Mus musculus: one gene and its partners. The protein of the gene in region 1 interacts with the protein of each later gene in a pairwise test. Links are inferred from orthologs where the notes say so. Each region holds a gene or a part of one and is shown in the gene's direction. Other genes may lie near its edges. The genes, in order: Egfr, Ptpn22 and Ptpn18.

What was found.
Region 2: the proteins of Egfr (region 1) and Ptpn22 interact in binary tests that used the Homo sapiens proteins (3 or more experiments, as listed by UniProt). The link is inferred for Mus musculus from reciprocal best matches to the Homo sapiens genes EGFR and PTPN22.
Region 3: the proteins of Egfr (region 1) and Ptpn18 interact in a protein complementation assay, tested with the Homo sapiens proteins (3 studies listed by BioGRID and IntAct, with this or other methods). The link is inferred for Mus musculus from reciprocal best matches to the Homo sapiens genes EGFR and PTPN18.

Annotation. Positions count from the first base shown.
Region 1 is NC_000077.6:16,866,456-16,876,866, forward strand, and holds part of Egfr (epidermal growth factor receptor isoform 1 precursor), read left to right. Parts: intron 1-775; coding exon 776-844; intron 845-1,652; coding exon 1,653-1,771; intron 1,772-2,763; coding exon 2,764-2,905; intron 2,906-4,520; coding exon 4,521-4,637; intron 4,638-5,127; coding exon 5,128-5,254; intron 5,255-5,346; coding exon 5,347-5,420; intron 5,421-6,390; coding exon 6,391-6,481; intron 6,482-8,504; coding exon 8,505-8,704; intron 8,705-10,411. UniProt on the Homo sapiens protein: Receptor tyrosine kinase binding ligands of the EGF family and activating several signaling cascades to convert extracellular cues into appropriate cellular responses.
Region 2 is NC_000069.6:103,855,151-103,865,661, forward strand, and holds the start of Ptpn22 (tyrosine-protein phosphatase non-receptor type 22), read left to right. Parts: upstream 1-5,126; 5' UTR 5,127-5,253; coding exon 5,254-5,340; intron 5,341-10,511. UniProt on the Homo sapiens protein: Acts as a negative regulator of T-cell receptor (TCR) signaling by direct dephosphorylation of the Src family kinases LCK and FYN, ITAMs of the TCRz/CD3 complex, as well as ZAP70, VAV, VCP and other key signaling molecules.
Region 3 is NC_000067.6:34,456,277-34,466,787, forward strand, and holds the start of Ptpn18 (tyrosine-protein phosphatase non-receptor type 18), read left to right. Parts: upstream 1-3,469; 5' UTR 3,470-3,547; coding exon 3,548-3,640; exon of another isoform or gene 3,641-4,759; intron 4,760-6,425; coding exon 6,426-6,534; intron 6,535-6,830; coding exon 6,831-6,907; intron 6,908-6,992; coding exon 6,993-7,088; intron 7,089-7,189; coding exon 7,190-7,228; intron 7,229-10,511. UniProt on the Homo sapiens protein: Differentially dephosphorylate autophosphorylated tyrosine kinases which are known to be overexpressed in tumor tissues.

The DNA of each region.
Region 1 (10,411 bases):
CTAATGGAGGTGGTAAGTAAGCAGCACCACAAAAAAGTGAAGGCGAGAAAAGTAAATGTGCTTCCCAGAAAGAAATTCTCAACATCTGTGCTGGTCAACATGTTGATCGTCAGTTCTCAGGATGATTAATGGCTGAATAGAAACCCTTTGCAGCTGCAACTTGATATTGACCAACTATAAAAATACAAATATTTAGCAATTACAAAGATTTCCAGACAGTAGTATGCCAGCTATTAACTAAGGTTTTAGGTGATTAGCCAAGTGACTCACAGAATTAGAATGTTCGCTTCCTGTGTCATGTTCTGCACCACTTCATGGCTTGGAGGAAAGGAGTGTTCATTTACCAGACTCAACATAACATCCTAAATATCTAGTGATGATTGCCCCACACAGTCAGTCAAGACTGAATGTAGCAAGGTGCATAAGTGTACATTGAGCGGATCTGGTTAGAGAGAAGCCTAATCAGGTGGCACCTCCGAAACCCTAAATTCATTAGCTTTGTCATTTGTGTGGCTGTGACAAGTCAGTAAGTAACCTCTGTCTCAGCTTCCACAGCTGAAGTACAAGCAAAAGCAGCCCAAGGCTCACCATTTTTTCTTTTGTGCAGGAGTCCTTTAATTTAGCTTACAAAGCATCCAACCCAACTATGAATACAAAGTTTCCAAGCTGTTCCTCATTTCTAGGACATTCTTTAGGACCTTGAGAGAGTTGTCAGTTGCGTGTTATTTGTTACTTTTATTGAAATGCACATTTAACTACTTGATTTTTATTTCAGGCCCCAAATGTGATCCAAGCTGTCCCAATGGAAGCTGCTGGGGAGGAGGAGAGGAGAACTGCCAGAAATGTAAGTCAGTGCAGCATCAGGGCCTGAGAAACATGCCCTGGTGAGGGAGTCCACACAGTATGTGGTCCTCCACTCCTCCGCTTTGTGACTGAACAAGTACAGGAGCTTGGCAAAAGACTCAGAGTTAACCACTTCATGAGCATCAGTCTTGGAAACATCACAGTGCACAACTATCTAAGGCTTACTACGTGGGATAATTTAACCTGTCATTAAATGCAAGAAAGCCAACCACCCAAGTGTCCATGGTGACACACAGGATGCCTTGTCCCCTGATCCAATCCTCCCCGTTTTCCAGAGCCAACTAATATAGAAGTTTGACGGTGTTGCTCCACAGAGTTCATGTGTGAATCCTACTAACTTAAAAAACAAAGTTTAATTTACTTCAGCATGGTTACTGCTTCACTCAAAGAACCTGGGCGTGTGTCAGCTTCAAAATTGACTGTAGTTCATTGCCTTTGTGACCTAACTATCTCGTTCCTTTAAACACTGCCTCCTGCCAGGAGCTCTTCTTGCTATGTGCCTTCTGTATTGCCAGAAATTCCCTAGATAATATCTACTTATTCAAAAGATCTGATCAGACTTGTTTCGATTATTTCTCCCAAGTGATTTGAGATAAATGATAAAAATGTACCAAGGGGAAAGTTGTGATTATATTGTTTGGCTGACTGTGAAAGCCTAGAAGCTGCTCCCTGTCACAAAACCCATGGTTCCTCCTTTATTTCTTTCTACTGGGTGCAAGCATTCCTTGGTGTCTCTAGAAGATGAGCTGCCACTTAAACACAGCTCACTGGTAATCTTTCTTTTTCAGTGACCAAAATCATCTGTGCCCAGCAATGTTCCCATCGCTGTCGTGGCAGGTCCCCCAGTGACTGCTGCCACAACCAATGTGCTGCGGGGTGTACAGGGCCCCGAGAGAGTGACTGTCTGGTAAGACTCTGGCTACTGGGGAGTTGTGCTGCAGAGCTGTGCACGTGCTCGACATCTGACTGTGACAGCAGCCTTCATGTGGTGCACATTTTAATTAAGTGTTGTCATGGACAACAGTAGCAACATTATGAGAAATGAAGGGAGCTCTTCTTCTGTAAGACCCCCTGAGAACCATCCCAGTTACCCAGACCTTTGGGCAGTATGGCATGTGCACACCATATTTTCATGCCTCTTGGGCTGCTCCCCTCCTAATCCTACCCCATCCCACAGTGTCTCCCCTCAGACCCTCTACCTCTGGTGAAAGCTCTAGTGTTAACTTTGCAGCTGTCAGGGGTTAGTGAATGTGATTCCTGGGGTCCTTGCCAACCCAAGCAAACTCCATTAGGCTCCAGAAAAGGAAGTCCACCTAAAGGTAGAGTCTAGAGTATTCTATCATTCTGGAACAGAAGATTCTTAAATTCTATAAACTAAACCTAGCTCCAGGCATCTTTTTTTTTTTTCACCTGGGTAGTCTGGTCTGATTCAAATGGGCAGCCCGGGGATAAAACTACAAATGGAGTTCTTAGAAAGATCCAACAGCTCTCTACATGGAATCTTCTTGCTAAGATTTCTGCAGTTTGTCCATAAATTATAAAATATATTCTTATAGTGTTCTTTATGAAAGAAACCCAGTAAAAACTGAGTTTAAAAATAGTTACAGCATACTTTCCAATATCATGTGTAGATTTCATTATTACCTTTTTTTTAACCACAAACCCTAGGCTGTATCAATTGAGACAGTCAGTATACTTAAAAATGTATACTTAGTACTCATAAGAGGAAGGTGTTTCTGACTATCCTGGAAAGGCTTACTAGACATTTTTCCTCTCTAATTGAGCATGTAAAACACCGAAAACTGTCACTGTCCCACTGACCTGCAGGCTGCCTGGCACTGGGTTCCTTTCATTTGGATGCCACATCCTTGACCAGACATGTTGTCCCTCCTATGACAGGTCTGCCAAAAGTTCCAAGATGAGGCCACATGCAAAGACACCTGCCCACCACTCATGCTGTACAACCCCACCACCTATCAGATGGATGTCAACCCTGAAGGGAAGTACAGCTTTGGTGCCACCTGTGTGAAGAAGTGCCCCCGTGAGTTTGCCCTTTCACCCAACAGTCCTCATTTCCTCTTCTGTCTTATGCTAGAGTCCTGGGCAGTTTGGAGGCAGCCACTGTGCTTGCCTTGTTGTCCTGTAGGCTAGTGTCTGCCTGGACAGGTGCAAGGATGAGAACCCCACTCAGTGCTGAGCAATGGAGGCAGAGGCAGCCTGCAGCAGTCAGGATGCCTTCCTTTAAAGGGTGGCTTGACCTGCACTGATCCAGTGTTGCTGGCAGCCAGACTGTATAGTACAAACCACCTATCGCTTCACCCCAAGTCAGAGAGGAAGCTTCAGTAACCTGGAGTGTCTTGGAGCTGACTAACACAAGGTCGTGACCCTCTGGGACAACCTTTGTTTGACTCTGCATTGTTTGACTCTGCATTAAACAGACCTAAATTAGAAAAGGCAGCAGACCCACCCCCTTGAGGAGAAGAATTTAGGGCTATGGCTGGGCTCTTGGAGTATTTTGGTTTTGGGTTTGCTTTGATTTACTCATTTGGGTTCAAGTTTTATTCATGTATGATGGTACTCTATGGTACCTATAGGAAAATGGCAACATAGATCGGTCCCAAACAGAGAAAGTGAAACAACTCATAAAGAGCCTTAAAACCAATCTTGACTTCTAGAAAGTAAATTAAGACAAAAAAAAATGTAAAGTGGAAACTATAAGGGTGAGATTTTGCCTACCTAGATTTAGGTGATTGAAGTCCCATTAGAAAACACACACAGAGAGGGGAGGGGAGGAAGAGGGAGAGGGAGAGAGAGGGGGAGGGAGAGGGGGAGGGAGAGGGGGAGGAAGAGGGAGAGCTAGAGAATAAGGTAAATGGAAAACTAAGATGAAGAAAAACTCATGACAGTCATGCCATAGATAGAATCTTTGTGTGAAGGCTTAGTAACAGATCTTTAAACTCTGCAGGAAACAAAACCTATGATGACAAGAGCATATGACTCACAGATATAGTACCAATGCCCACATTTTGAGCATGTATTTCAGAAACTCAAAATAGGAGCATAGAGTTTCTAGTAATACTGTAATCATAAATATTAATTAGGTTAGACTACATAAAGGTGAAGGGAGTGGAGAGAAAGATTGGGGCGCCTGTCTAGGAAGCAGAACAAACTGGTCCCCTCGTTGTCCCACCAAGAACTGCATGGTGGATGGGTGGGGAAGGGCAAAGCTGGTATCAAACAGAAGAAACTGTAGTTACCTCAATGGGACATGGTCTGTCTGATAAGCATTAGTGTGTGTGTACTACATATCTTAGGTTTCCTTGTATATTCTAAGCATAGACCTGTCAGAGGAAATTCATATTCAGCAAGGGGCTTTCAGCCAGTGAACACGCATGGTGGTGTTTCCTCTCATAGCTGTTTTGCACCTGAGATCAAGTATCTGTGTTTGTCCACATTACTGTCAGAAAAGCCATTAGACTAGAGCTTGGTTCCTCTTCTACTTGAAATCTGTCAGTCTTTCTCCTCAAAGAGAAGTCAACCAAACTAAGAGGGACCTTTTTAGCAGCCCATACACAGCAGGACATGAGGATGTTTGTGGAAGGTTAGGAGCACCTGCTGTAGCCTTCAACACCTTCTTTTCATTGCCTCTTCCTCAGGAAACTACGTGGTGACAGATCATGGCTCATGTGTCCGAGCCTGTGGGCCTGACTACTACGAAGTGGAAGAAGATGGCATCCGCAAGTGTAAAAAATGTGATGGGCCCTGTCGCAAAGGTAAGCAGTAGGGTTTTTTTCTTGATCTTTGTGCCGAACTCTTATGGCCACCTCCAAATAAACCCACCTTTTAATCTTTTTTTAAAAAAATATATTTATTTTGTCTGGAAAGTAGAAGGTAAACTTGCAAAGCCAAATTGCATGGTGGAGGTGGGGGAGTTCTCTTGAACCAGGTACAGAGGCGCCACCTGCAGCCCAGGTGGGTGAACTGTTGTAGCCAGAGAGAGGCGGAGCCAATGTCTTTGTGAGTGACTAGATTCAGTACAGCCAGAACATTCAAATCTGACAGAGGTCTGTGACAAGGACAGCCCAAGTGCCACTCCAGTGACTGAAGGGAACAGCGAAGCCTGTCACAGGAGTCCTGGCACCTGGAGGGTCCCCTCAGGGTTGTTGGGATGAATCAATAGTGCACGGTAGCAGGGTTCTTGCTTCCGCTTGTGCAGACCCAGCCTTCTTAATTCACATTCTTAATTCACATCTCTCTTAACAGTTTGTAATGGCATAGGCATTGGTGAATTTAAAGACACACTCTCCATAAATGCTACAAACATCAAACACTTCAAATACTGCACTGCCATCAGCGGGGACCTTCACATCCTGCCAGTGGCCTTTAAGGGGTGAGTAACAGCTGAGCCATCTGGATGAAGAACTGTAGAATCTGCTTTAAGCCACGGAGAGTGTCCAATAATCACGTTGCTGTCTGTTTCAGGGATTCTTTCACGCGCACTCCTCCTCTAGACCCACGAGAACTAGAAATTCTAAAAACCGTAAAGGAAATAACAGGTTTGTACTCGGGTGTGCAGGAGCATATATGGGAAATTAAATTTTATAGCGACTCCCAGACATTTCCCTTTCTTCCCTGACATGAGAATGTGGTGTCTGCAGCTTATCCATTATGAGTAATTCTTCGAGACATTTTTAAAAACCAGTTTCCCTTGATGCAAATTGAAAGCACTTTAAGCCACGGCTGCTGCAATCATGCTGGACTTGATGTGGACACATGGAGCGGTTCTTTCCTGCTTAGACTGTCCATCGTCCTTACAGACCCCAAAACCCCCAGAGAGAAGATGGAGGAAAAGATACAAGGTTGACGCTAACAGGCAGTGCAGGCTCTCGAGTTTCACAAACTAGATTTCAAAAGATTGTCCACCAGGGAGTCTTGGGTCTATGACTGCCACCAGCATGCCATTTTCGTCATCTATGAAGGGGAGATAATTTGATCTGAAAAACAGGATTAATATGAGGATCAGAGTTAAATGGAAAAAAATATTTAAAAGGAGACCATGGTAACAAGAGACTGGAGAAGAGTCAGAAAAGGATCCAGGTGTATAATCTGATATTCCTTATGGATGTCAGAGCCAGAGCACTTGTCACCTGCTCAGGTGGGAGTTGGCCTACGCATTGAGGGAAGGGCAGCCAGGGACTCTAGGTTGCATAGAAAGGACAGGATTCTTTCATATATATATATATATATATATATATATATATATATATATATATATATATGAAATATATATATATATATATGAAATATATATATGTGTGTGTGTGTGTGTGTGTGTGTATGTATGTATGTATGATATATATATCACCTGGACCTGTGTGAGGACATGCACTATCATCCTTGGTGATAGGAACAGGAAGAATCCACTGCCACGGTCCATACAGCAGCCTTATCTGAGTCCTAGAACACGCTTCCTACAACAAGGAAATTTCTAACAGTGTGAGTCTAAGCCTTTCTTCTTCCCTCTAGGCTTTTTGCTGATTCAGGCTTGGCCTGATAACTGGACTGACCTCCATGCTTTCGAGAACCTAGAAATAATACGTGGCAGAACAAAGCAACAGTAAGTTGGCCATAACAAAAGCCTAGTAGAATTTTTTCCCCAAGATTGTCAAAAGAAACAGAAATAGGACAAAGACCGATCTTCTACTCGGCTTCCCCTAATGTGAGCAACTTATGTGAGTAGATATGAAAGTTAAGATAAATAATTTGACAAGGTGCCATGTTCTTCCCTGGACCATGTACTTCATTCTGAGTTTACCAGATTTTCCACGAATGCATCCATTCTTTTCTGTCCTCTCCAGGATCCCACACTGCATTAATGTCTGATGTCTTCCTAGTTCCCTTCAAACTTTCCCAGCTCCTATATCTTTGCTGATTTTTGTTGTCTTGACACTCTGGGAAAATATGACTGGGTGTTTTATAGGGCATCTCCTTGTTTGTGTTTGGTTAATATTTGATAATGAGGCAGTTGAAGACACATAACTTGTCACACCAGGGAGACAGAGAAGATGGGAGACAGGTGAAGAGCTTTCCTAGAGTAAGAGAAATCCTAAGATTTGTGGTGAGGAAAAGAAATCTGGAAATCTGTAGCTCAAATCTGTCTTGGAAACTTTCTAATTATGATAGCTTTTTCTGACATTTACCACCACTAACATCACTAATCCCACTAATATTGTGGAATATTTAACAAGTCAAAGCACATACACACAGAATATACATTGCTGCCCATAAACTCCTTTAAATAGGCACTTCTGATACTAAGCATGCCACTGCTTTTGCTTCCTGCCTTTCCTCTTAAATTCTCAGGAATGCTCTCGTTCTGAGGTTAGCACCGTGTTTCAAGCGACTGCACAAGAGACTTAGCCTTAATTTTAAGCATTTAAGCTATGGGATAACCACTAGTTCCTGACATGACTCACAGAAAGCTGGGACTTGACCTGCAGGAAAGACCCCAGCCAGACCCTGACTCCTTGGCTTTTCTGGACATACGCTGGGGGAGAATTCCCAGTAAGTGATGGTTGTGGATCTCCTACCCAGACCCCTCACTTCCCTGAAAACAGGCTGTGGGGAAAGATAATTCATGAAGGGGGAAATGAGAATAAGCATGACTAGGAAGAGGGTCTGCCAAATACTACTTTAAACTTTGATATTTAACCCCATAGCTTCCATTCTCTTCTTTTGTCCTGGCTCAGCTGGCTCATTCCTGAGGCTAGTGTCAAGAAGATGCCTACAAATGCACACCGCTTCTATGTGCATTTCCATCAGTCACATGTGACAAATTGTGCCTAGCAGGGGCATACATTTGAGCTCTGACCTCAACCATGATCCTGAGTCTGTCTCCCTGCCCTCGCCAAGTGCACACATCCTGCAGAGTCCTGTGATTTGGGACTCCATTCTCTCTTATCTGACTAAGTTTCATCCAGACACATATCTGCAGAATCTTATTTAATCAAATATGAGGTATCATGACTTGAACATCACCCTTCCATGCTCTTCCTCCATGGCTCTCCTTCAGTGTTCACCCATGGCTGACCCAGTCCTCACTAACGCTGCATTTATTTCTATGGACTCAAAAAAAACCTCTGCCGGTGTGATTATATCACCTTTAGACAGAGTCCCTAAGTAAAAGAGACAAATATTTAACCTGTGTGGTATTTGCAAATGGAACCACAGATATTCACTCAATAAACATGACTGGGCAGCTGAGTGGTAGGCAGATGGACAGATATTCATATTTACCTTAAGTACATTTTGATGTTGCCAGATGCTAGAAAGCATGTTCTTGATTTCTAGGAAAACTATAAATATAGCAAATGAAATGACATGAATCCTCTGATTAACTCCTCCTGTTTATCCAAGTTTAAAGATAAAAAGCAAATGAGAAACTGTCTTTTCTTTGAAGAAATCTATAAAAAAACCCTTGCATTTTTTAAAACGTTGTGATTCATACTTTTCGCAGAATGATTAGTAATAACTGGAACACAGGATTCAGGAAACATAAGTGGCCCAGAAAAACTGAATTTGAGGATGGCCCATTGCTTTCGCTATCACACAACAGTGCAATTTTCTTCTCTCCCATTTAGTGGTCAGTTTTCTTTGGCGGTCGTTGGCCTGAACATCACATCACTGGGGCTGCGTTCCCTCAAGGAGATCAGTGATGGGGATGTGATCATTTCTGGAAACCGAAATTTGTGCTACGCAAACACAATAAACTGGAAAAAACTCTTCGGGACACCCAATCAGAAAACCAAAATCATGAACAACAGAGCTGAGAAAGACTGCAGTAAGTAGCTGGTCCCCTCTCACCTGCACAGATAGTTCCCGGAGGTAACTTAGTTTTGGAAGACATACTGAAGAGGTTTTCACCAAACATTCTAATTGCTTTTGCTCATTCCTTCATTGAATTAAAATCTGCATATTCCTAATTGTAACGCTAGCATCAGAATTGTTTCCAGAATGTTCTCATCTCATAGGGTGAATTTGCCTTGTGGGGTTTCAACGTGAAATGTCCTTCATAGGCTCATGGGTCTGGACACTGAGTCCCTAGCTAACTGTGCTGTTTGGAATGGTTGTAAGACCCTTGGAAGGTGGATCTTTCCTGGAGGAAGGCAGGCTCGAGGACTCCACTTAGTGTGTATTCTCTGCTTCCTATAATTGCAATGAGATCATCTGTTTCTTCGTACTTCTGTTGGCATGCTTTTCCTGTCATGATTGATTGAACCCCTTCCTTAACTGTAAATCAAAATGAACCCGTCCCTCCTTAAGTTGCTCATGTCCAGTATTTGGTTGCAATAACGAGAAAAGCAGTAAAGAAAATGGATGCCAAACAGAGGAGCCTTGGCTTTGACGAATTTGAGGATGTGGCTCTTAGCCCTTTGGGGCTAGCTTGTGGGAGGAATGTAGAGAAGTTCGGAACTTTGTCTGAGAAAGCCCCAGAATTTTCTAAGCCATCCTGGTGGGAGTTTGGAAGATCATAATGCTGAGAGAAATATGAACAGTAAAAACCAGATCCGTTAGGTCTCAGAGGAGAATCAGGACACTGTTCGAAAGTGAGCTAAAGGCCATTTGTGGTACATGATGATAATGAATCTGGCTGTATCTGCCCATGTCCTGAGAACATAAGTCACTAGAAAGCAATGACCCAATTTGATTGGTGGAGGATATCTCAAAACAGAAAGAATAGCATTCAGTCTCCTGCTCGTGGTTCTTATCCAGGACTACAGAGTCCTGGAGAGGAAAGTGGACAGAGAGATAGGAAAATATGCAGTTTGATGGGCAAAGGAGAAAATTTAAAGGTGCATGTAAGCCAGGTGCTGAGGAAGCAATTGTAACTGTAAAGATATTAGCACTATTAAAGAGAAACCTTGTATAATCACACTGAGACAATAGGAAAAAGGTGCTCTGAAGGCAAGACCCCATCTCCCAAAAGGTACATCTTATGCAAATGTACATTCATTTGAAAGAAGAGAGCCAAAACTGAGAATTCTGCTGAAGATATTTCCTGCTTCTAGAGGCCAGGCTACATCTTTAGCTGGCCACTCCAATGGGCAGCCTCATCCATGGGGTGCTGGTTTTATACACGTGAAAGATACAGGATTGAAGGGGGCATGGAAGCCTGTGCCAAGATTACAGAAGGCCAGGCAAGCCAGGTGGTGTTTGGCAGGCTTGGAGTTGTGAATGGAGGCTACGTGAGACTGTAAAGATGAAGCTTGAGTGGCAATGGGCACTCTAGGATTTTAGAGATGTCAGCACGGTGGAATGCCTGCTAAGGAAGACCGCAGGCGTGGCACAGAGCAGGCTAAAGGAGTAGCTTTTCCACACTGCAAGGGGCAGACCTGGCAGCACAGAATTATGAAGACATGGGTAATTCTTGGGTAGTTCTGCTGAGTTTGTTTTACTTTAGTCTTCGTCTTTCTTTGCTGTGCCCTGATTCTACTTGTTGACATGGGAACATCTACTATGTGCCATTGCATGTTGGAAGTTTGTGATT
Region 2 (10,511 bases), on another chromosome or scaffold:
ACCTTGTATTATGTGAGGTGTTTCAAACTCAGATAGACAAATAGCATGGGTTCTCTCTCATATGTGGGTTTCAGCTTTTAACTCTAATATGTAAATTTATGTGGGAGTGTGGAGAGAGCACAGGTACTTAGATGGGGTCACTGAGAAGGGAGAAAAGTTGTCTTGGGAGTTGGAAAGCAGTACGATACATAAGACCTGAAACTCTGAGATGATCAGAAAATAAGAAAAACACCTCAAGATACAGGCACAGGAGACTGGTGGGACAGCGTGGTGGTAAAGGTTCTTTCTCACACAAACCTGGTGACCTGAGTGTGACCCCAAGAGAAGCCCAAGTCCATAAAAGATGTTCTCTGACCTCCACATCCCTAATGTGGCATTCATACCCATGCGCGCACACACACACACCACGACACATACAATAATAATAAATACGAAGTTTTAGAAAGATATATGCATAGGTAAAGTATTTCTGAATAGGACTCTAGTTTTCCAGGAAATAAAACCAACAATCAATAAACAAGACGTCATGTGATTAAAAACTTCTGTACAACAAAGGAAACAGTTAACTGAGTGAAGTGGTAGCCTATAGAATGAGAGAACTCTTTATCAGGCAGAAGATATAAAATCCACAAGACACAAAGAACTTAAAACACCAAACAACAATGAAACAATAACCCAGTCAAAAAATGGACTAAGGAAACTTGTGTTCTCAAAAGACATCCGAGTGGACAGTAAATATTTTAAAACATGTTCAGCATCTTTAGGCATCAAGAAAATGTAAAGTAAAACTACTTTGCAGTTCTGTCTCACCCCAGTTCGAATGTCTGTGGTCCAGAGAACAAGCGTTGGCAGGGATGTGGGGAAGAGAGAGGTGCCCACTGTGGGTTGGCCTGTGAATTGGTGTAGTCATTGTGGAAATCAGTGTAGAGGTTTTTCAAAATATTAAAAAACAGAACTGGTTTGTGACCCAGCTCTACTGCTCCTGGTCATGTGTCTAGAAGACTGCATATCCTGCCTGCTAAGCTGCCACACAAACATTTGCACGTCCATGTTTAATGCTACTGTATCCACAATAGCAAGGAAATGAGACCACCCTAGATGCTATCAGCTGATGAATGGGTAATGAAAATGTAGCACATCTACACCTGGAGTTTCATTCGGCTGCAAAGGAAAATGAAATGGTGTAATTTGCAGGAAAATGGAACTGGGAAGTATTGTATTAAGTGAGGCAATTCAGACTCAGAAAGACAAATATCACATATTCTCTCTCATATGTGGATGGCAGCTTTTAATTATTACTTAAGTGGGAGTGAGTGTTTAAGAGTCCAGGAGACTAGACAGTGACCATGTGAAGGTGAAAAGACAATCTGAGATGTACTAAGGAGCAGAATGCATGAAGTGGGTGTGGGACCACTTAAGCAGGGGTTGGGAAGGGTAGGGAGGTGGGGGAAGGGAGGGGAGAAGAGAACCAACAGAAAGTCTCAGAATATTTGCTAAGGAGGTGACTCAGCAGCAGGAGACTCAATTCCCTCCACCCATCTGGGATTCTTGTTTGTTTGTTTGTTTTCAGGACAGGGTTTCATTGTGTCCCTTGCTGTCCTAGAACTCACTATGTAGACCAGGCTGGCCTTGAACTCACAGAGATCTGCCTGCCTCTACCTCATGCTGGGATTAAAGGCATGTATCACCACTGCCCAGCCCATCTGTAATTCCTGTTCCAGGAGATTCAATGTCATTTCAATGCCATCTCTGGCTTCCCTGGGTACCAGGTATGCATATGGTATACATATAGACATACACATGTAGGCAAAACATCCATTTATATAAAATTAAATAAAATGCCTTAACACCAACAAGATTAATAACCATAGGTTATTAGATGAAAATCCCAATGTCAGAGATAGGAATTGCCTACCTCTGTTGTTAGATAGAAAGCACACACACACACACACTACAAGCAATTGTCAATGTTTCTGGGTTTCCATCAGAACTAAGATCTTGCTGCCAAAGGTGACATATGCTTCGGTTGCAAGACATACTGAAATCAAGCTGGTGCTAAGAAGCTTCCTTTCTGGTGGCTAACTGGTGCTCTGCAGGCTGCTGGGGAGGCTGGTCACCAACATTGTTATTTAGCTGTGGACATCTATACAATAACGCCTACTGGCAATATGAGCCCTGGGGCAATGGCAGCAGGTCTCTTCAGCAGATAACCAGCAGCTTTCTGAGTGGATTTGATGCCCTTGCCATCTACATGGTACTATAAATCTGGTTAAATGCTCTGGCTGGGGGAAAAGAAAAACAAAACAAAACAACAGCAGCAACAACAACCAAAACCTCTGGCTGGGAGGTCATAGGCCCTTATAGGGCATCCACTGCTGTCGTTTTGCAAAGCGGACGTGATGCGCCTGTCTAACTGCCTTCTAGATAACTTTCTGTCTATAGAGTAGTGGTGCTTTCAGTTTTGGTCAGAGAACGTACTGTCTGCAGTGATAGGCAGTGACTGCAGAGACAACTCTGGTCAGAGTTCTGAGAATAAACCACTGGTGAGTGCTCAGGAATAAATGGGACACCTACATCACCCCTCCCCACCCCAAAACCCAGGGAGCACTCCCAGAGAAGGGACAGAGAGAGATTATTTATTAACTTTTTCTTTTAACTTTTCTTTTGTTTTGAGACAGAATTTTACTGTGTAGATCAGGCTGGTCTTAAAACTCACAGAAATCTGCCTGCCTCTGTCTCCTGAGTGCCAGGATTTAAAGGCCTATCTTTCCAGTGTAAAGGCAGGCGAAGGCGGTTGAAGAGGTGGGGAATGCTAATCTCTAAGTGGGACTTGGGTGTTACACTCTTGAGCTCATGGAAGCTGTGCCACTCGTAGAGGATCCACACAAACTTGAGTTTGTGTCAACTCAACACTCTGTCGCGGAGGGTAAGGGATTCATGGAGTCCCACCCCAGCCTGAAGATCTCTATGCCGGTAATGGTTGGCAGGGAAGGGAGAGAAGTCATCTTCAGTGTGAGACTCTGGTAAGCTATGCATGCTCCCCTAAACTACCCTAATGAAGCTCACTGGGATTGAAAACTAAAAAAGACATGAAAGTGGGAGGCAGGAGATGGTTGGCAAGAGGAGAGGGGTTAGGTGTGAAGAGAAGAGAGGGTAAGACTGAATGCGTAGTGTAATCGGAATGCATTAACTACAATATGAAAATGTCATGTAATCCATTATGTGTGACTAATGTATGATAATAATGTTCCTCTTTCTATTTTTATGGCCTACACACACACACACACACACACACACACACACACACACACACACACACACTTAAATCTAGATTCTCTGTTTAAGGGGAAAAAACATGTAATACTTGCCTTTCTGAGTCTGGCTTAAATTTCATATTTTCATATAATTTTATTTATAGTTAACTTAGGATTTTTAAAGTATTTAACTTTTGAGACAGTGTCTTGCTATATATAGTTCAGATAGGCCTGCACTTTGTAACCATTCTCCTATCTGAGCCTCCTCAGTGCTAGTGTTACAAGTATATTCCATTATACCCTGAAGAATGTTGTATTCTTTTTAAAAATAAAGCTTCCCCATATTTTGTATGTTTTAAAATAGTCAAATATTGCATCATTTAGAGTAGCAAGAAATTTCCTGTTGTTGCTAGACAAGGATAATCTCAGAGATTTGTTTTAGTCTCAGGAAATATTGCTGAAGAATTATGGTTCATTTTAATTTGTGTGAACTACATTTGAAATTCTTTATGTGAAATACTAACTTCAAATTGCCTGCCAAGGGTTCAATGAAGAGGGTGCAGCGTGTTTTGTGTTCAAAATCATGATTTTCTGAAGGGAGTTTGAATAGTGTAAAACCAGAAAGGGTTGCTAATATCTTAATAGAGGAAGTCCAAACTACACCTTTCCCAGTTTTTTTTTTTAACTTGAAACTAATTTTGTAACATTCTGTTTACTGAACTTCCTCATTTGCAAGGGTTTTCACACTGAATTAGATCTTGAGTGGATTTGTGCCCATCGAAGAGAGGATTTATGCAAACGGAGATGTGGAAGCATTCTCTGGAATAACCTGCCTTGTTAAGGCACTGATACCACAGATGTGGACGGCTCCCTGAAACGCGATCTTTTCTGAGATAGGCTCTGTAGGATCAAAATGTCAACATGTCTTCATGAATTCTTCAGCCTCTTTCATTCTTCCTCCCTCCCCTTCTGAGAGAGAGAGAGAGAGAGAGAGAGAGAGCGCTCACTTTGTTTCTCAGGTGTCTCAAACTCTGAGACTCAAGTGATCTTGCAGCTGGGGACAGTCCTGAGGAGCTGGGACTGCACCACCTCTCCTCAATTCTCTCCAGACAGGCTGACCTAGATAGAATCTGTATGGTTCTCAGCAAGCAATATTTTAGCTTTAGTTCCGTTTTGTCCTTTCGCTGTTTGCTAGCAGTGCGTTCTGGGGATATTGTGCTAACTGCCTCCCCGGTGCTTCCCATCCTGTGTAGAGCTGTACTCTCAGTGTTTGCAAAGCTACTGGAGGTCTGAAGAAGTACAGAGACCAACACTTCCCTTAATGAGGGCCAGTACTTCCCCAGTCACGGGTGAGATGGACCATCAGAAGCAGTGGACTTTGCTTCCTCTAAAAGAAAAACGTGAGGTTTATAATGGAAGCTTGACAAATTCTGAAACAAAATGCCCGCTTGATGAGCAGAGGTCTGCCATGATCATATCTATAGGAGACTTTGGGGATAATGGTCCGGGTCGGAGATAGGTAACTCCAGTGTTTGTCTCCTCTCCTGCAGCAGGGCATAGGTGGGCGTCACCCAGGCCTTTCTGCTCACTGGGATGTGAAAAGCTGAACTCACAGGTTAGTGCTGTACTTTCTGCCTTTCTTCTGGGAATGGAAGAACTGAGTGCTGTCTGAGACTGACAGCGTGGAACAGTCTCTGAGCTAAGCAGACCACAGTTTGTGTTCTGGTTAGCCTCTTGTTTGTTACATTTGAACAGTAGCCAAGTTTCTTTGTTGAGAAAGGAAGGCGCTAGGGCCCTGCAGGGAGATGATGGCTTTGTTGTGTGACCACAGAAGCTAGTTTTGTACTAATTTCCTCTAGGGCTTGTGATGAAGTCAGTAAACCACAGCCTCCAGCACGCTGTGCTCCTGCAGCAGCAGTGGCTTCTTGGTGCTGCCTTGGCCATGACACATATTTGACATGCCCTCCCTTAACCTACTCACAGACTCTTGCTCTGCGGCATGGACCAAAGAGAAATTCTGCAGCAACTACTGAAAGAAGCCCAGAAAAAGAAACTCAACAGTGAGGAGTTTGCCAGTGAATTTCTGGTGAGTTCTGGAATGCTCTGAAGAGTTCTTAGATAAACTGTGTAGCAGTCTGTGGTGGCCCAGTTTGCCTAGACGCAATTGCTGTAGGGATAACACGACCATGGAGTTTGGAGTGGAAGGGAGGAAGGCGACCTAAGAACATAACCTCTCTGGGCTTTGTTGTGTCTGTGCTCAGGGTTTTCTCCAGGTAGGCTGGTTTTAATGTTGGGTTTGCTTGTTCTTTTGAGCTTAATGGTCCTACAGAAGGTATAGACAGGTGTATGGATATTAATGCTTTCTGAACATCTGCAGAAAGCATTTGCATTGTGACATATGCTTCAGATTACTAATAAGAGTAGCTTTTCATGTTACGTGTTATTTTTAGCTTCCCTATAGGCTATCATTGGGATAACAGGGGTTTGAAAAACACCAAAAACTCTCATTTTGCCACTTTTTCTCCTATCCCTTTGAAAACAAGTTGATTATTAGAATAGGCATTTTCCTTTTTAACAATAGCTGGGCTTCTTTAACTTATATTGTCTGGAGAAGTGGGCTAGGGAGAGTGGGGAGTAGAGACACGTGAGAGACATGGAGAGCAAGGTAGCCTGGGAGCAGGTGGACTTGATTATCCAGAACTCAAATCCACTTAGAGGGAGCCATAGTTAACAGTGTAACAAAAGCTGGGCGGCCCATTTTCCATCCCTGTCAGGCACATCAGATAACATGGTATTTGACACACCTGTCATGCTTTTGGTTTTTGCTTAGTGTTTGTTTGTTTGTTTGTTTGTTTGTATCAGTATGTAGCTCTGTCTGGCCTAGAGCTCACTATGTAGATCAGGTTTGGCCTTGAACTTAAAAGATCCTCCTGCCTCTGCCTCACTGGGATCAAAGGCATGTACGACCACACCAACCTGCTGTGTTCTAAAAGCTTCTAATTGGTATTTCAGAACTGTAAGAATGTTAAGCCTTAGCCCTTCAGCTTTGAATTGAGAAAAATAAAGAACATCGACATGGTCATCATTCAAATTATCAAATATTTAACGTGTTCCCAAATCACCCTAACTCTTTGTTTTCTAGGTTAAAAAAATGAGGATAATAATTTATGTCCTATCTATCTCATTTTGGATTATTGTGATGATTATATCATTAATTATAATAATTAAATGAGAACAAGGTGTTTTGGAGGCACCCAGAGACCCAGTTACTTGGAAGGCTGAGGTGGGTTAAATCTTGAGTTCAAGGCTCGCCCAGGCGACTGAGAGGGACCGTGTCTCAGAAAAGGGATCATTTAGGAGCACTTACTATGTACCAACTTTGTTTCTTCACACTAAGATACAATAGTAAACAAAATGTCTTTGCCTTCCAGAACTAGCGTTCTGGCACCAGATATTAGAAGAGAAAACTATCCATGATGTTTTCACTGAACAGATATCACTATTAGATAGCACAGCAGGCTAGTATATAGTGGCCCAACTTTGAGGCTAAGATATTATGCCAGCTTATGGTGTCACTTAAATATTTTCTTTCTGCCACAAGTTCTCAGGGTAGTTTAGGCACAGGGTAGAGTTGCCTATGTGTCTACTTAGATCCAAGCATGCCTTTTGACTGTATCACTGAGACATTCTTAAGGCAATTTATTAAGATATAGAGGGGACGTGAGCTGAGAGGTAGTGACATCTTTGTCTTACTTGGGTTGTATTTTTCAAAACAGAGCAGACTATATCTCTAATATTTTAACCACTCGTAGAGGTCGTTATAGTCTCTTACCAAACTGGCTGCCACCTCCTGACTGCTTTCTCTGTTTCTAGCCTTGTCCCACCTTAATTTTCTTAGACAAGGACTCACTATGTAGCCATAGCTGGGCTGGAACTCACTGTATAGACGAGACTAGCCTTGAACTCAGAGATCCACCTTCTGTTTCCTGAGTGCTGAGATGAAAGGTGTACAATGGTGTACACCACCATGCCAGGCTCCAAAGTGCTCTTTTAATTACATAAATCTGGTCATATTTTTCTCAGCTTAAGAACTTTTTTATAGCTTGTATTTTGTTAGCTGCTTATAATTGTGAACTAAAATATATATTTAGAAAAACTACACAAAACATGTGAATATAGTTATAAAGGAACCAGTGCTAATGCGGTTACTGCACAGATCAAAAAATATAGCACTGTCTAACTTGGAGAGATTCCCTACTGTCCCTTCCACAACTGGCCTCTCCACCCACCCACCCCACCCCACCCCACCCCATTCCTCCACCCCATCCCACCCGGGTAAATCACTGTCCTGGGTTTATATTAATCATCTCCTTGCCCTTCTGGCTCCTTATACTTAAGAACCTTCTTTTGGGTGGTGATTAAGTGGAACCTCACTGTTCACTGACTCACGTCCTCCAGTGGAAAAACAAGAGTTTCACCCTCAGCCCCACCTAAAGGTTCAACTGAGACACCAGAAAAATAGCTTTGGGAGAGGAGCTGTTGGCCCAGGGAAATACTGCCATCCAACTGGAAGGTTTCCACTTGACTTCTGCCCACAGTCCACCTGAAGTTCTTGATGTTTGTGAGATTTCAGAATGAACTTTATGACGTAAAGGCACTGCTAGCAGCCTTAGTGGCTAGTATGATACAGCATTTATACTTAAATGTAGATTTTCTGTGCAACAACTCCCCCCACAAAACAAACAAACAAACAAACCAAGAAACAAAACCAAAAGGTTCCTTAACTCAGATTTCAGTCCTGACTTCTTTGTCGTTGTTAAGTTTTTATTGTTGTTTCGTTATGCAGCTCTCACTGCACTGGGATTCACTATGTAGACCAGGGTGGCCTCAGACTCTCAGAAGTCTGTCTGCCTCCTATGTAACAGAAGTAAAGGCGTGTACCATCAAGCACACCCTGCTCCTTTAAAGAAAGATTTGTATTTGGTGTGTGTATATGTGTTGTTTTGCCGGCATTTATATATTATGCATTTAGTGCCTGCCCAGTGCCTGTGGAAGCCAGAAGATGGAGTTGGATCCCTGGGAACTGGTGTTACAGGGGGTTGTGAGCCACTGGGTGGATGCTGAGAACTGACTCTGGGACCTCAGCAAACACAGCAAGTGGGACCTCAGCAAACACAGCAAGAGAGCCATCTACTGAGCCATCTTTCCAGACCCTTCCTTCTTTTTATATTTTTAAAAACGTGTATGTCAGAAAAAAACCTGAGATCCAGCTACAAGCAACAAAATTGATTAGCTTTGCAAATAAGACACAAGACACTTGACACAATTTCGTCTGCATATAGTTCAAAAAACAGATTTTAAAACTCCTGTTTAGTATAATAAATAAAGCAATGCAGAAAAAAAAAAAAACCCAAACTGTTCTGATAGTGTTGGCTTCTATCTTTTTGTAGAGGTAGGAGGTCAGGGTATTATTATTAGGAAGAACACCCAGGGGCTCTCTGTGCAGTGGGGGCGCACCTGTGCACGTGTGCGTGTGTGTGTGTGAGAGAGAGAGAGAGACAGAGAGACAGAGACAGAGAGACAGAGAGAGGCAGAGAGAGAATCCAGGCATCTCATGTACAGTGTACACCAGGCTGAGAATAAGCTTGTAGCTGGATCTCAGGTTTTTTCTAGTCGTTGTTGTGAATTCTGTCAAAGTTCCATAGATGTGATTCTTGTAGTGATCATAGAAAGAGTATTGAAAGATGTCGAGTAGTCACCGGCTGTTCTAATTAGGCTGCCCTGCCTCTATAATAAAACACTGACCAAACCAACCTGGGGAGGAAAGGGGTTACCTAGATTAAACTTCCATGTTGCAATCATCATTCAGGGAAGGCAGGTCAGGAATTCAAGGCAAGAACTGAGACAGGCCAGGGAGGACACTGCTTGCTCGCTCGCTCTTGTGGTGTGCTCAGGATCACCGGCCCAGGAGTAGCGTTGCCCATAATGCACTTGGGACCTTTTGAATCAATCATTAATCAAAAAAAAAAAAAAATGCCTTTCGGATTTGCCTACAGGCCGATCTGATGAGGTGTTTTCTCAGTTAAGATCTCCTCTTCCCAGATAACTTTACTTGTATTAAGTTGACAAAAACTAACCAACACAGCTGGCAACACCCATTTTGAATCACCACAGTGGTTTTTAGCCTTGCTGGCCTCAAAATGTAGTTTCTTTATGGCTTTTAGCCTAGCTTGCCCTCCCTCCCTTCTCCTTTCCCTTCCCTTCCCCTCTCTTCCCTTTCTTTTTTTCCTTCCTTCCTTCATAATTTCTTTTTTTTTCTTTTCTTTTTTTCTTTTTTTTAATTTTGAGACAGACTATCACTAAGTTGCCCAGGGAGACCTTGCCATCCTCCTGTCTCAGGTCCCCAGGTAGCTAGACCTCAGGCTTGGGCGTCCTGGTTTGGCTGTGAATCTATCTTTATTACACAGATTGTCTAATCCAGAGCCTTGCCTTTGCTAGACAGAGGTTCTACTACTCAGGTACTCAGCTACACCCACAGCCTAGTCATTCTTTGTACATTCCAAGCTTTTGTCAAATGTATTAACTTTTATTTTAAAGTCTATACTTTTTTTGTAGTTAAAAAATAACTCCTAAAACTGTTTATTCAGACATATTTATTAAATATAAAGGACCCATTGAGCTCGAATGGTAGAAGCCCATCTCTAATGGCTGCATTCAAGTGCTAATGTAACTAGAACGTGCTGACATTATCATAGCTTCTGCAGATTTCATCTATCATAGACACCAGGACACGTCTTGGTTCTATGTGTATTTACAGCAATGATTCTAAACAAATGGTTATAAGCACAGCATCCCCTGCATAGCAAGAATTCAAACATTTGTTGAACTGAAACAGCTCATGAGAACGAGCCTGTCACTTGGGCATACCAATAAGCCTTTACTGAAGTAAGTGTTGTATTTATTAAGGTGTTTTATTACTACCACCACCAGAAAGAGCACACTGACCTCTGCAGCTGATTCCTCCTCAGTCCACCCTCGCTCAGCCTTTAACTCGGGACCATCTATTCCCGTATCCTCAGTTACTCTCAGGGTAGTTTTGACATACTCTTGCCATTTCCTCGTCTTTTCATACCTGATTTAAATGTCTTGGTTTAATTACTGCAGTTTGGCTGTTGCCTACCCAGCTATTCCCTTAACCAGTACTATGGAACACCCTTGCCTGTCTTGTTAAAGATGTCTCTGTGTCTACTCAGGGCC
Region 3 (10,511 bases), on another chromosome or scaffold:
TCCCCTTAGTAAGATTCCATCTTTTGGAGAAACAGACACAACTGGGTCTCCAGCTAGGTTTTCATCCCTGGCTTAGACAGATCTCCAGCTACCAAAGTAGAGATTTCTCAGGCACTGCTCAGCTCTCCTGTCCCCTGCATATTACCATAGCTGACCCCTTGACCTCTCAGAGCTGCCGCTGCTCCTGGGTACTGGAATGGTCTCCAGTGACCACTGCCCACCAGTGGCATCTGCTGCTGCTCCATAGGGGCCTGCCACGATCTCTTGGTGACACCCTTCCATCTGCTCCGGAGGCTCCTGGCTTAAGATGACTGCCATTGGTCATCTCAGAGATTCAGCTTCTTCAGACTCCACCATTGTCACACAGATCACAGACCTTCTGTGTACCACCTCCCTGGGTCGCCATCAACCCCTCCCAGCCCATCCACCAGGCATTCACAATCCCTCTGGCATTTATTCATGGCCATCTTTTGCTTCTTTGGGAACCAATACTCTAAGTCCCCACAGCCACTCAGGACTTTATTGCCCTTCACCCTGCTCCTGAGGATGCTGACTCCCCAAATGCTGTTAGTAACATTCACTGACCTCCAATGAACTCAGCAATTACTGTCCACCCTCAGTCATTCCTGCTCACCCCCTTAGAACACACAGGTGTGAACAGTGACTCCCCAAGAACTTATAATAAGTAGGTTAGAGTTCCCCCACTTTTGAAAGCTCAAAACAATTTATTTCTTCATATATACACATATATATACATATACATAATGTATTTTGACTATATTCCTCTCATTCTCTAGCCTCATTCCTCTTCCTGCAGATCGCCCTCTTCACAAGCTCCTCTCCTACTTTCATGTCTTTGGTGTGTGTTTGCCCCATTGCATTTAACTGAGCTTGCCTGAGTAGGTTGAGCAGGCAGGGGGGGGGGTCATTTATCGGAATGAGGGAAACCTACCAGTGGGTGTAGCACTAAGGAGTATGCCTCCCTTTCATAGCTATTAACTGTCTATAGCTTCTCAGGGAAGCATGAGGCCCCCTGTGCCCAACTTAATGATGATGGAACTTGGGTGGGCCCAGTGTTAGGAGCTCACACCTGCAACTGCTAGGTCACATCCAGGAGACAATGTTTCATGGCACTCCCAACCCTCTGCAGCGTTCCCTGACTTCGGAGAGTGGATACAGACGTCCCTTTTAGGGCTGAACACTTCACTCACCCTCAGTACTTGAACCAGTTCGATATTACTCTCACCTCCCAATATTTAAGCGAGGTCCAGCAAACTAGCGTCTGCAAACCACATTTAAAAAAAATTGCGACAAAAATCCAATGATTGGTGTCAATGTGGTTTCTAAAACTTTTAAAAATTCTATTTGGCTGGTTGGTGGTGGCACATGCCTTTAATCCCAGCACTCTCAAGGTAGAGAGACAGGTGGATCTCTGTGACTTAAAAGCCAGTCTGATCTACAGAACTAGTTCTAGGTCAGCCAAGGCTACACAAAGAAACCCTGTCTCAGAGAAAGAAAGAATTTATTTTTATGTATCTGCCAGTATATCTGCGCAATGTGCAAGCCTGGTGCTGTGGAGGCCAAAAGAGGGCATTGGGTCCCCTGGAACTCAAGTTTCTGGTGTTTGCAAGCCATTGTGTGGGTGCTGGGACTCAAACCTCAGTCCTCTGGAAGAGCAGTCAGTGCTTTTAACTGCTGAGCCATCACTCCAGCCCTCCTAGCATTTTTTAAAAAAATTACATTTACTTGAGTGCTTCTGCACAAGGCATAAGGAGGTCAGAGGACACTGTATGGAAGTGATTTTTTTTCCTTCTACCATGTGTGTCAGGGGATGCAGCACTTATTAATAGGTGTGGCTGCAAGACCTTTACCTGTTGAGCCATCTTACTGCCATCTTCCCCATTTCAGTGAAAAAGTTTTCATACTATCACCCTCATACTATCTGGCTGTTTTGCATTGCCACCACTGGCAGACCCACAGTGACGTAAGACAGAGATCTAGCGATAAAACCCAATAAAGTCTTGTCTGGCTTTTAAAGATGCTATCCATTCCTTCATTTAAACACTGTGATGACCAAGTTGACAGCCTTTTACCAATGATCCCACTCATCTTCCAGTGACTTAAAGCACTTCTTTTTTTGGTTTTTCGAGACAGGATTTCTCTGTATAGCCCTGGGTGTCCTGGAACTCACTCTGTGGACCAGGCTGCCCTCGAACTCAGAAATCCACCTGCTTCTGCCTCCCAAGTGCTGGGGTTAAAGGCGTGTGCCACCACCGCTCCGCTCAGCATGCTTAAAGCACTTTCAATTCGCCTTAGCCCTACTTTTGCACACGACCCCAAACGGATCTCCTCAGAGCCCTCCCTCAACAGAGAGTTGGCAATGCTTGAAATTCTTTGGTTCCCTTGCAGGTGGTGCTACTCCATCTGCTGAAGCCTGTTTTGGAAAGAACCCCCTTTTATTTTCTTTTGTGTGTAGGGAGATACACCCTCACTATAGAGCCTGTGTAGTTGTCCAAGGACAACACTCTGGAGTCGATTTTCTCCTTCCACCATGTGGGTCCTAGGTATCAAATCCAGGTTGTCATGTTTATTTAGTGGCAAGGCATTTACCTACTGAACCATTCCACCATCATTAAAACATTTTCCTTTCTCTCTCTCTCTCTCTCTCTCTCTCTCTCCCTTCCTTCCTTCCTTCCTTTCTTCCATTTTTTTTTTTAACTTTGAGACAGGATTTCATCACAAGCTAACTTTGAATTCACAATGTAAGCTAGGGTGACCTTGACTTTCTGATTTTCTTGCCTCCACCTTGTGAATGCTGGGACAGGCACTCTACCAATTCAGCTACAAACCTTAGCACGGCTCTTCTCCAGTCTTTAGTCTCCAGGACCCCAGGAGCTTCAGCATAAGATCTTCTTCAAACTCCTGAAGGGGGACGGAGTGAGTGTTGAGACCACTTTTCCTCCCAATGCCTCTCTAGTCTCTTCCTCCCTGAGGGGTATGGGTTAAGATCCACAAGTTAGGACTGAATCCTGGTGTCCCCGCTTTTCCAGCAGGTTCCAAAAGTGAAATCACACCCCCTACCCTCAGAAATAGGCCTTTTCCCAGAGCAAAGTGCAGGGAATATATTTATTCGAAGTCCCCGACCTCTCTCATATTCCGCTGTCGCACGACTGTGAACCTCAGCGCTCGCAGGACTCCGGAGCAACCTTGGGAACCCGGCCTGCGAGATTGAGAGCGCAGCCATCCCCCTGGAAAGGCCAATGGGACTGAGCGTTCCGTGCGGACTCCACCAGCTTCACGGCAGCCGAAGCACCCGAGGCGCCAGTGGGGAATTGCGGGACCCGCAGCTACTTGGACGGCCAGTTCGGCTGCGGTGGCAGCCAGCACCTATGGGCGGGACGAACGGAGTGAACTCCTAGTGCCATTGGCCGAGGAGCCTGCCAATTACCGGTCTTCATTGGCTGCTGGAATGGAGGCCCCACCTCGCAGTGGCTAAATTCTCGGAGTCGGATCACTCCTTGTGGGAGACCTCAGAGCGGGTCGCAGCATGAGTCGCCATACGGACTTGGTGAGGAGCTTCTTGGAGCAGCTGGAGGCCCGGGACTACCGGGAGGGGGCAATCCTCGCTCGTGAGTTCAGCGTGAGTGACACTCCAGCCATCAAGCTTCGCAGCCAGGCGCTCCCCACGGCTGTCCACCTGTGCAATATGAAAGCTCTGCCTTTTCCTCTCAGCTCCCGGGGCGTCTCCTCCCTCCTGCTCTCGGCTTTCCTCTTCCCGCACTTCTCTCACCCTGACTCTCCCAGCCTTCCGCACTTTGCCCACAGGTGCCCAGAGGGTGAAGACGGCTACTGTTTAGGAGGAGCCAGACACACTCAGGTGTCGGTGTCGAGCTCCCGGTGCAATCTTCTCCCTAGCGGGGCCGTGGCTTCCGCCGTGGAGGGAGGCAACACACCTGCGCTGGACTCGAGTCCCCAACCCGGGCCACTCCTGGGTCACCTTGTAATCCCAGGGAGGAAGTGGTTTGGGGCAGCAGAAAGAGGAACGAGGAAACTTGTAGCCTAGCCTAGGTTTCGCGTTACCAGTCTATCCTAGGGCTTTTCAGAACTGTGGCCCTGGGAGCTCTGACTTCATTTTCACCTGTTTTGAATTGTGAATGATAAAAGACAAGCCGGTTTGAAAATTAGGTGGTTTGGGTAGATGCACCTAGCACGCGTTGGGTATTCACTGGCTATATTAACTGTATGCACCTGCCTTTAACATGGTTTACAAAGGTTGTAAACGTTACCTCGGGCCAATCAAGCTTGTGAGAGCTACTGCCACTCAACAGCCATGGCACACAACATGTAATGACGTATTTTAAATAGAGTGACATGATCCAAATACGTAATACACTATCTCAAACTTAGAAATGTAAATGACAATGATATAAAAATAAGTGTGACATTAAATGATCACTTACAGCCTGGCATGGTGGCACATGCCTGTAATTCTAGCAGTTGGTAGCCTAAAACCGGGGGATAACCATGAGTTCAAGGCCAGCCTGAATTACATAATTTTGTGACCACTCTGGAATACTCTGGAGATTGTTTCAAAGAATGAAAAAGATAGTTTACACAGGCCAATATGTAAACCAGTAACAGTGAAACTCTGGTGGTGGTGCATGCCTTTAATCCTAGCACTTGGAGGCAGGGAAAGGAAGGTTACTGTAAGTCTGAGGTCAGTCTGGTCTACACAGTGAACTCCAGGACAGCCAGGGATATGTAGGAAGACCTTGTCTCTAAAACAATAAAAAAACCAACCAAACAAAAAAAATAACCCCAACTAACTAAATAAGCAAAACAAACAAACAAAAACCCAACAAAGCAACCAAACACCACAACAGATACAACAAACATTAATAAGAACCAAATTTATAGCAGGGTGATGATGGCACACACCTTTGATTTCAGCACTTGGGAAGCAGAGCCAGGTGAATCTCTTGAGTTCAAGGCCAGCCTGGTCTACAGAGTGAGTTCCAGGACAGCCAGGGCTACACGGAGAAATCCTGTCTCGCAAACCTAAAACCAAACCAAACCAAAAAACCCAAAAAGCAAGCAAACGAACAAACAAACAAACAAAAAACCCAAACCAAATGTATTAAGTTAGTAAGTAAATATACACACAAGCATATGGACAGGTTAAATGTGAGTCTAGATAATTTTCATATGTAAATGCTGTAACAGAAGAACTACTAGCATAAAGTATACATTTTATAAGCAAGAAGATATGCATAAACAGGAAGAAGGTGTCTCTGGGGGCTGGAAAAACCTGACCAACATAAGTAAACCACTTTGGAATGGTGGCCCAAACACAATGCCAGTCATTGCAAATATGAGCACCCGATAAGAGCGGTACTCTTCACCAGTTATAATAATGCAACAGCTATAAAGCACCTATAGCATCTTCCTACATGTTATACCTCATATCTATAGCATATTGTCATGCTGTACCTTGTTTAAAGTATTTTTAATTTTTATTTGGCGCATGTAGCTATATATGTATGTATGCATGTGTGTATATAGATACTCTTGGAGACTAGAAAAGGCTATTGAATCCCTGAAGCTGGAGGTACCAGCACTTGTGATCTGGCCAGTGCTAGTGCCAGGAACCAAACTTGGTTCTCTATAAGAGCAGAAAGCACTCCTAACCACTTAGCCATCTTTTCTAAGCCCTATTATTTTTTTGAGACAGGGTCTTGAGACAGGTTCAGGCCGGTCTTGAATTGAATATGTAGCCAAGGATGACTTTGAACTTGTTTAAATTATATGTGTGCACACATGTTCTGGGGGAACTGGACAACCATGAGAGCTACTTTTACCCTTCTATCTTACCTTGGGGTGAAAGTCAGGTTATCTGGCTTGGTGGCAAACACCTCTACCCACTGATGCATCTCCCTGGCCCCAGTTTAATTTGTTTTGGGGGTGGGGGTCTTGTTCATGCCACAGCACCTATGTACAGTCAGAGGACAATTTTCTGGTGTCAGGTCTCCTTATGGTGTGGGGATATAGGGATTGAGTAGAAAATCTTCAGGCCTGTGCAGAAAGTGCTTATTATATGCACCGAACTATCTTTTGGGTCTAAATGATGCATATTTTATTATGATTTATAGTACATTATAACATGATTGAATGTGCAGATCTGAGAGGTCTGGATTCAATCTTTATTGGGGTACCTCCTTGAGGGACCTTTGGCAAGTTACTCAACCACTCACTACCTACATCAACGTTCATCTGCACAATGGGGAGAGTGGATAGCCCCCCACTTGGGATGTCTAAATCCCCTAGCACTGGGCCTGACTTTCACCTGCTGTCCTAGATATTATTACACAGATGCTAGTACGGCTGGGTCTCACTCTGTTCTTTCTGCTCATGGTGCTTTCCACTAGGACATTAAGGCCCGCTCAGTGGCCTGGAAGTCTGAAGGTGTGTGTTCCACTAAAGCCGGCAGTCGGCTTGGGAACACGAACAAGAACCGCTACAAAGATGTGGTAGCATGTAAGTCAGTGGGTATCTTGAGGGAATCAGTGCCACTTGCACAAATGCTGGGTGGCAGTGCCCATTTGGCCGCACCCACCCACAGCCAGCCCCTCCCACTCTTCCTCCCTCCCCTCAAACCCCGCCCCCCGCCACTCCCCAAAGCATGCTATTGCTTGTGCTTGAGGTAGCTGCATTACTCCCTGAAGCCACAAGGGGGCAGAGCTCCACTAGTGTGCTGTCACCCCGCTTGCTTTTGCCTGGGAGGGCGTCAGTGACTTGACACCCACCCCTCCACATGTCCCACCCTCTCCCAGATGATGAGACAAGAGTCATCCTTTCCCTGCTCCAAGAGGAGGGACATGGAGATTACATCAATGCCAACTTCATCCGGGTCAGGCTAGTGATCAGGGGAGGGGTGGCTTTGGGGTGGGTTGGGACAGGCTTCAGCATCTCGTTAATGAATGGGCCTTTCCTAGGGCATAGATGGAAGCCAGGCCTACATTGCGACGCAAGGACCCCTGCCTCACACACTGTTGGACTTCTGGCGCCTGGTTTGGGAGTTTGGGGTCAAGGTCAGCTTTGCGGGACAGAGAGAGAGGGGCATGGTTCTGAGTCCCTGTCCTTCCGATTTCTCCTTACTCAGTGGCCTCCGTCTTCCTTACCTTTTGTCTAGGTAATCCTGATGGCCTGTCAAGAGACAGAAAATGGACGGGTATGTATCCTCAGCCTCCTAGAATGCAAAGAAGGCTTGTGCAGGGAGGAGAGGAGGCGCGGAGTCTCCTTCTTGTCCCTAGAACCAGAGTCCAGTCCCTGCCTGACTCCACTGCAGCTCTGCAAAAGCCACTGGTCCTAATTTTGCCTTGATCTTTTTCCTTTTGATCATGGGGTTGTCCCCACAGTACTGGCAGCCCGATCAGCCCACATCATGTACTGAAGAGTCTCCACCCTGGTCTCTTTATACCCTTGCCTGCTTCTTATACTCCCCTCTACAGGCTCTGTTTGGGGATGTCCTCTGCCATGGGTTTTACCATTGCCCATTCTGTTACCTGGACCTTCACGTGGTGTCACACCCCCACATGCCCACCTCTAACTCTTTCCTGTGTCTTACCATTTTCCTTCATAGTTCTTGTCTACCTCAACACATGGGATAATTCTAAAAGGGGAAATGCACATCACAGTAGTATGACGACCCTCCACAAGCTATTATTTTTACCTTTGACTATCTTCTTACCGGGATACAATTCTCCCGTTTAGCCAGGCATGCCAGCTCCCAGTGTGTACTTCAGGTTCTTAGGAGGCCAAAGTAAGAGCATCAAAACTTTGAGGCTGCCGGGCGGTGGTGGTGCACGCCTTTAATCCCAGCACTCGGGAGGCAGAGGCAGGCAGATTTCTGAGTTCGAGGCCAGCCTAGTCTACAAAGTGAGTTCCAGGACAGCCAGGGCTATACAAAGAAACCCTGTCTCGAAAAACCAAAAAAAAAAAAAAAAAAAAAAAAAAAAGCCAAAAAAAAAAAAAACCAAAACCAAAACCAAAACCAAAAAAACCCCTGAGGCCAGCCTGGGCAACTCAGGGAGACCATCCACACATTCACCACCCTGTTAGCAGTCCCAGCCCATGTTTAAAGTCACAGGCAACCCCTAGTCCCCTAGTCTCCTTTTGATGCCAGCAGATTTGCCTACTCGGCATGTTTAACATGAAATGGAATTGTGTGGCACGTGCCTTCCACGACTGGCGTCTTCCTCTTTGTGTTCTCGGTTCTTGCATCCAGAAGCATGGCCCTAGTGTACTTCTTTTGATTGCTGAATAGCACCTTGAACGCACCTACATCTCACTCCTCCTCTAAGCAGTTTGTAGATGCTGGATTGCTTCTCTGAATCACACCGCTGTGAACTTTCGTATGCAAGCCTTTGTGTGGACATGAACTTAGAGTTTGCACTAGGTGGAACTGCTGGCTCATAGAGGAACTCTAATTTTAACTCTAGTTTAAGGAAGTGACAGGCCATTTTCCAGAGTAGCTGTGTCAGGTTACTTTTCCATCCACAGTACACAACTCCAGTTTCCTTACATCCTCGCCAACAGTTCTGATTCCTTCTCATTTTGAAAACCTTTTACTTACTGTGTATAGGGGCATGCGCATGTGTGCACATGTGTGCCGTGGAATGGGGCAGAGGTCAGAGACAAATTTGGGAAGTGGATGTCTCTTTCATCCATGTGGGTCCCTGGGATTGACTTGGCAACAAGTGTCTTTACCCATGAGCCATTCTGCCTGTTACCCCTGTTCCCTGCCCCCCCTACCCCCATTATAGCCATTGTTGGAAATATAAGGGAGTCTCTAACTGGGTCTTGTAAACCTTGTGGTAAAATATATGTAAACATAAAAATCGCCATGTAAGGGACTGAAAGATGTCTGGAGGTTAAGAGCACTTGTTACTCTGTAGAGGACCTGAACTCCTAGGTAGTACCTACATCAAGTAGCTTATAATTACCTATAACTCCAGCCCCAAAGGGATCTGATGCCCTCTTCTGGCCTCCTTGGGCACCCAACACACACACACACACACACACACACACACACACACACACACACACAGCATAAACTCCTCCTCCTCCCCTGGTCCTGGCCACCTGTCTTCTGTCCCTATTGTTGCCTGTCCTAGCCGCACCGTGTAAATGGGATTATAAAATATGTGTCCTTCTGTTTCTGGTTCCTTTCCCTTGATGGTTTTAAGGTCTGTCCATGATGTCATGTGCACCAGAATGTCATTCATTGTAAGACTGAATATGCCATGGCTTTGTGTCGTGTTTCCTGTACCCATTCATCTGCTGATAGACAGTTGGGCTGCTCTCCCTTTTAGACCACGGTTGGCACACACTGATAAAACAGTTTATGTTTGCTTCTGGCTTTCGTTTTCATTTGTGTGAGTCAATGCATGTCCATGTGTGGTTATGGATATGTGTCTCTGTCTCGTGCATCTCACTATATCACCTTGGCTGGCCTGGAACTCACAGAGATCCACCTGTTTCTGCCCCCCCCCCCCTGCTTCTGCTATATTGCTAGGTTTAAAGACTTGTGACACTCTGCTGGCTCTTTTGTTCCTTTAGGGGTCCTCCCTGAACTCAGTCCTTGAATTTTCTCAGCTTGGCTAGAAGCTGGCAAGCCCCAGAGATCTTCCTGTCTCTGCCCACCGCTGAGCTGGGGCTACAAGCATACAAAGGTGCCTAGCTTGTTATATGGGTGCTAGGATCTGTGCTCCAGTGTTCATGGTTGTGTGGCACTCTTAATTGCTGAGCTCTCTCTCTAGAACTGTCTATTTTTTTTTTCAATTATTTGAATATAAATCTGCAGCAGAATTGTTTAATTTTTTTTTTTCCACAGTGGCTAGAACTTTTCGGCTTCTATTGGCTAGGGGTTTTGGTCTCTCCCTATGTTCAGCCACACTTGCTATTTTGTATGCATTCATTGTGTGGTGTGCACATATTTAGAGATCAAAGGAGGATGTCAGGTGTCCTGTGCTGTCCACTTTCTGCTTTTTTTCCTTGACTCGGGTGTTTCTCTTAGCCTAGAACTAGGCTGGCAACCATAGCCTAGAGATCCTCTGTTTGTTCTTTGCCCCTACGATGTTGGAGTTACAGGGTATACCAGCCATCTCCCATGGGTGCTGGGTCTTTGAATTCAGATCCTCATTCTTGTTCAGCATCTGTTCTTACCCATGAGCCATCTCTCCAGGTCAACAGTTATTTACCTCCCACTCATGGGGATGGAGAAATGGCTCAGCGGTTAAAAGTGTATTCTGCTGTTGCAAAGGACCCACATTTGGTTCCTAGCACCAACATCAAGTGGCTTACAAGGACTTGGAACTCCAGCTCCAGGGCACCTCACAACCCTGGCCTGTTCAGTTACCTGCATTCACAGGCATGTAACATCCAATTAAAAATGATAAAAATAAGTCCTTGTTTGTTTGTTTGTAGATAGGGTGCCTCTGTGTAGCCCTGGC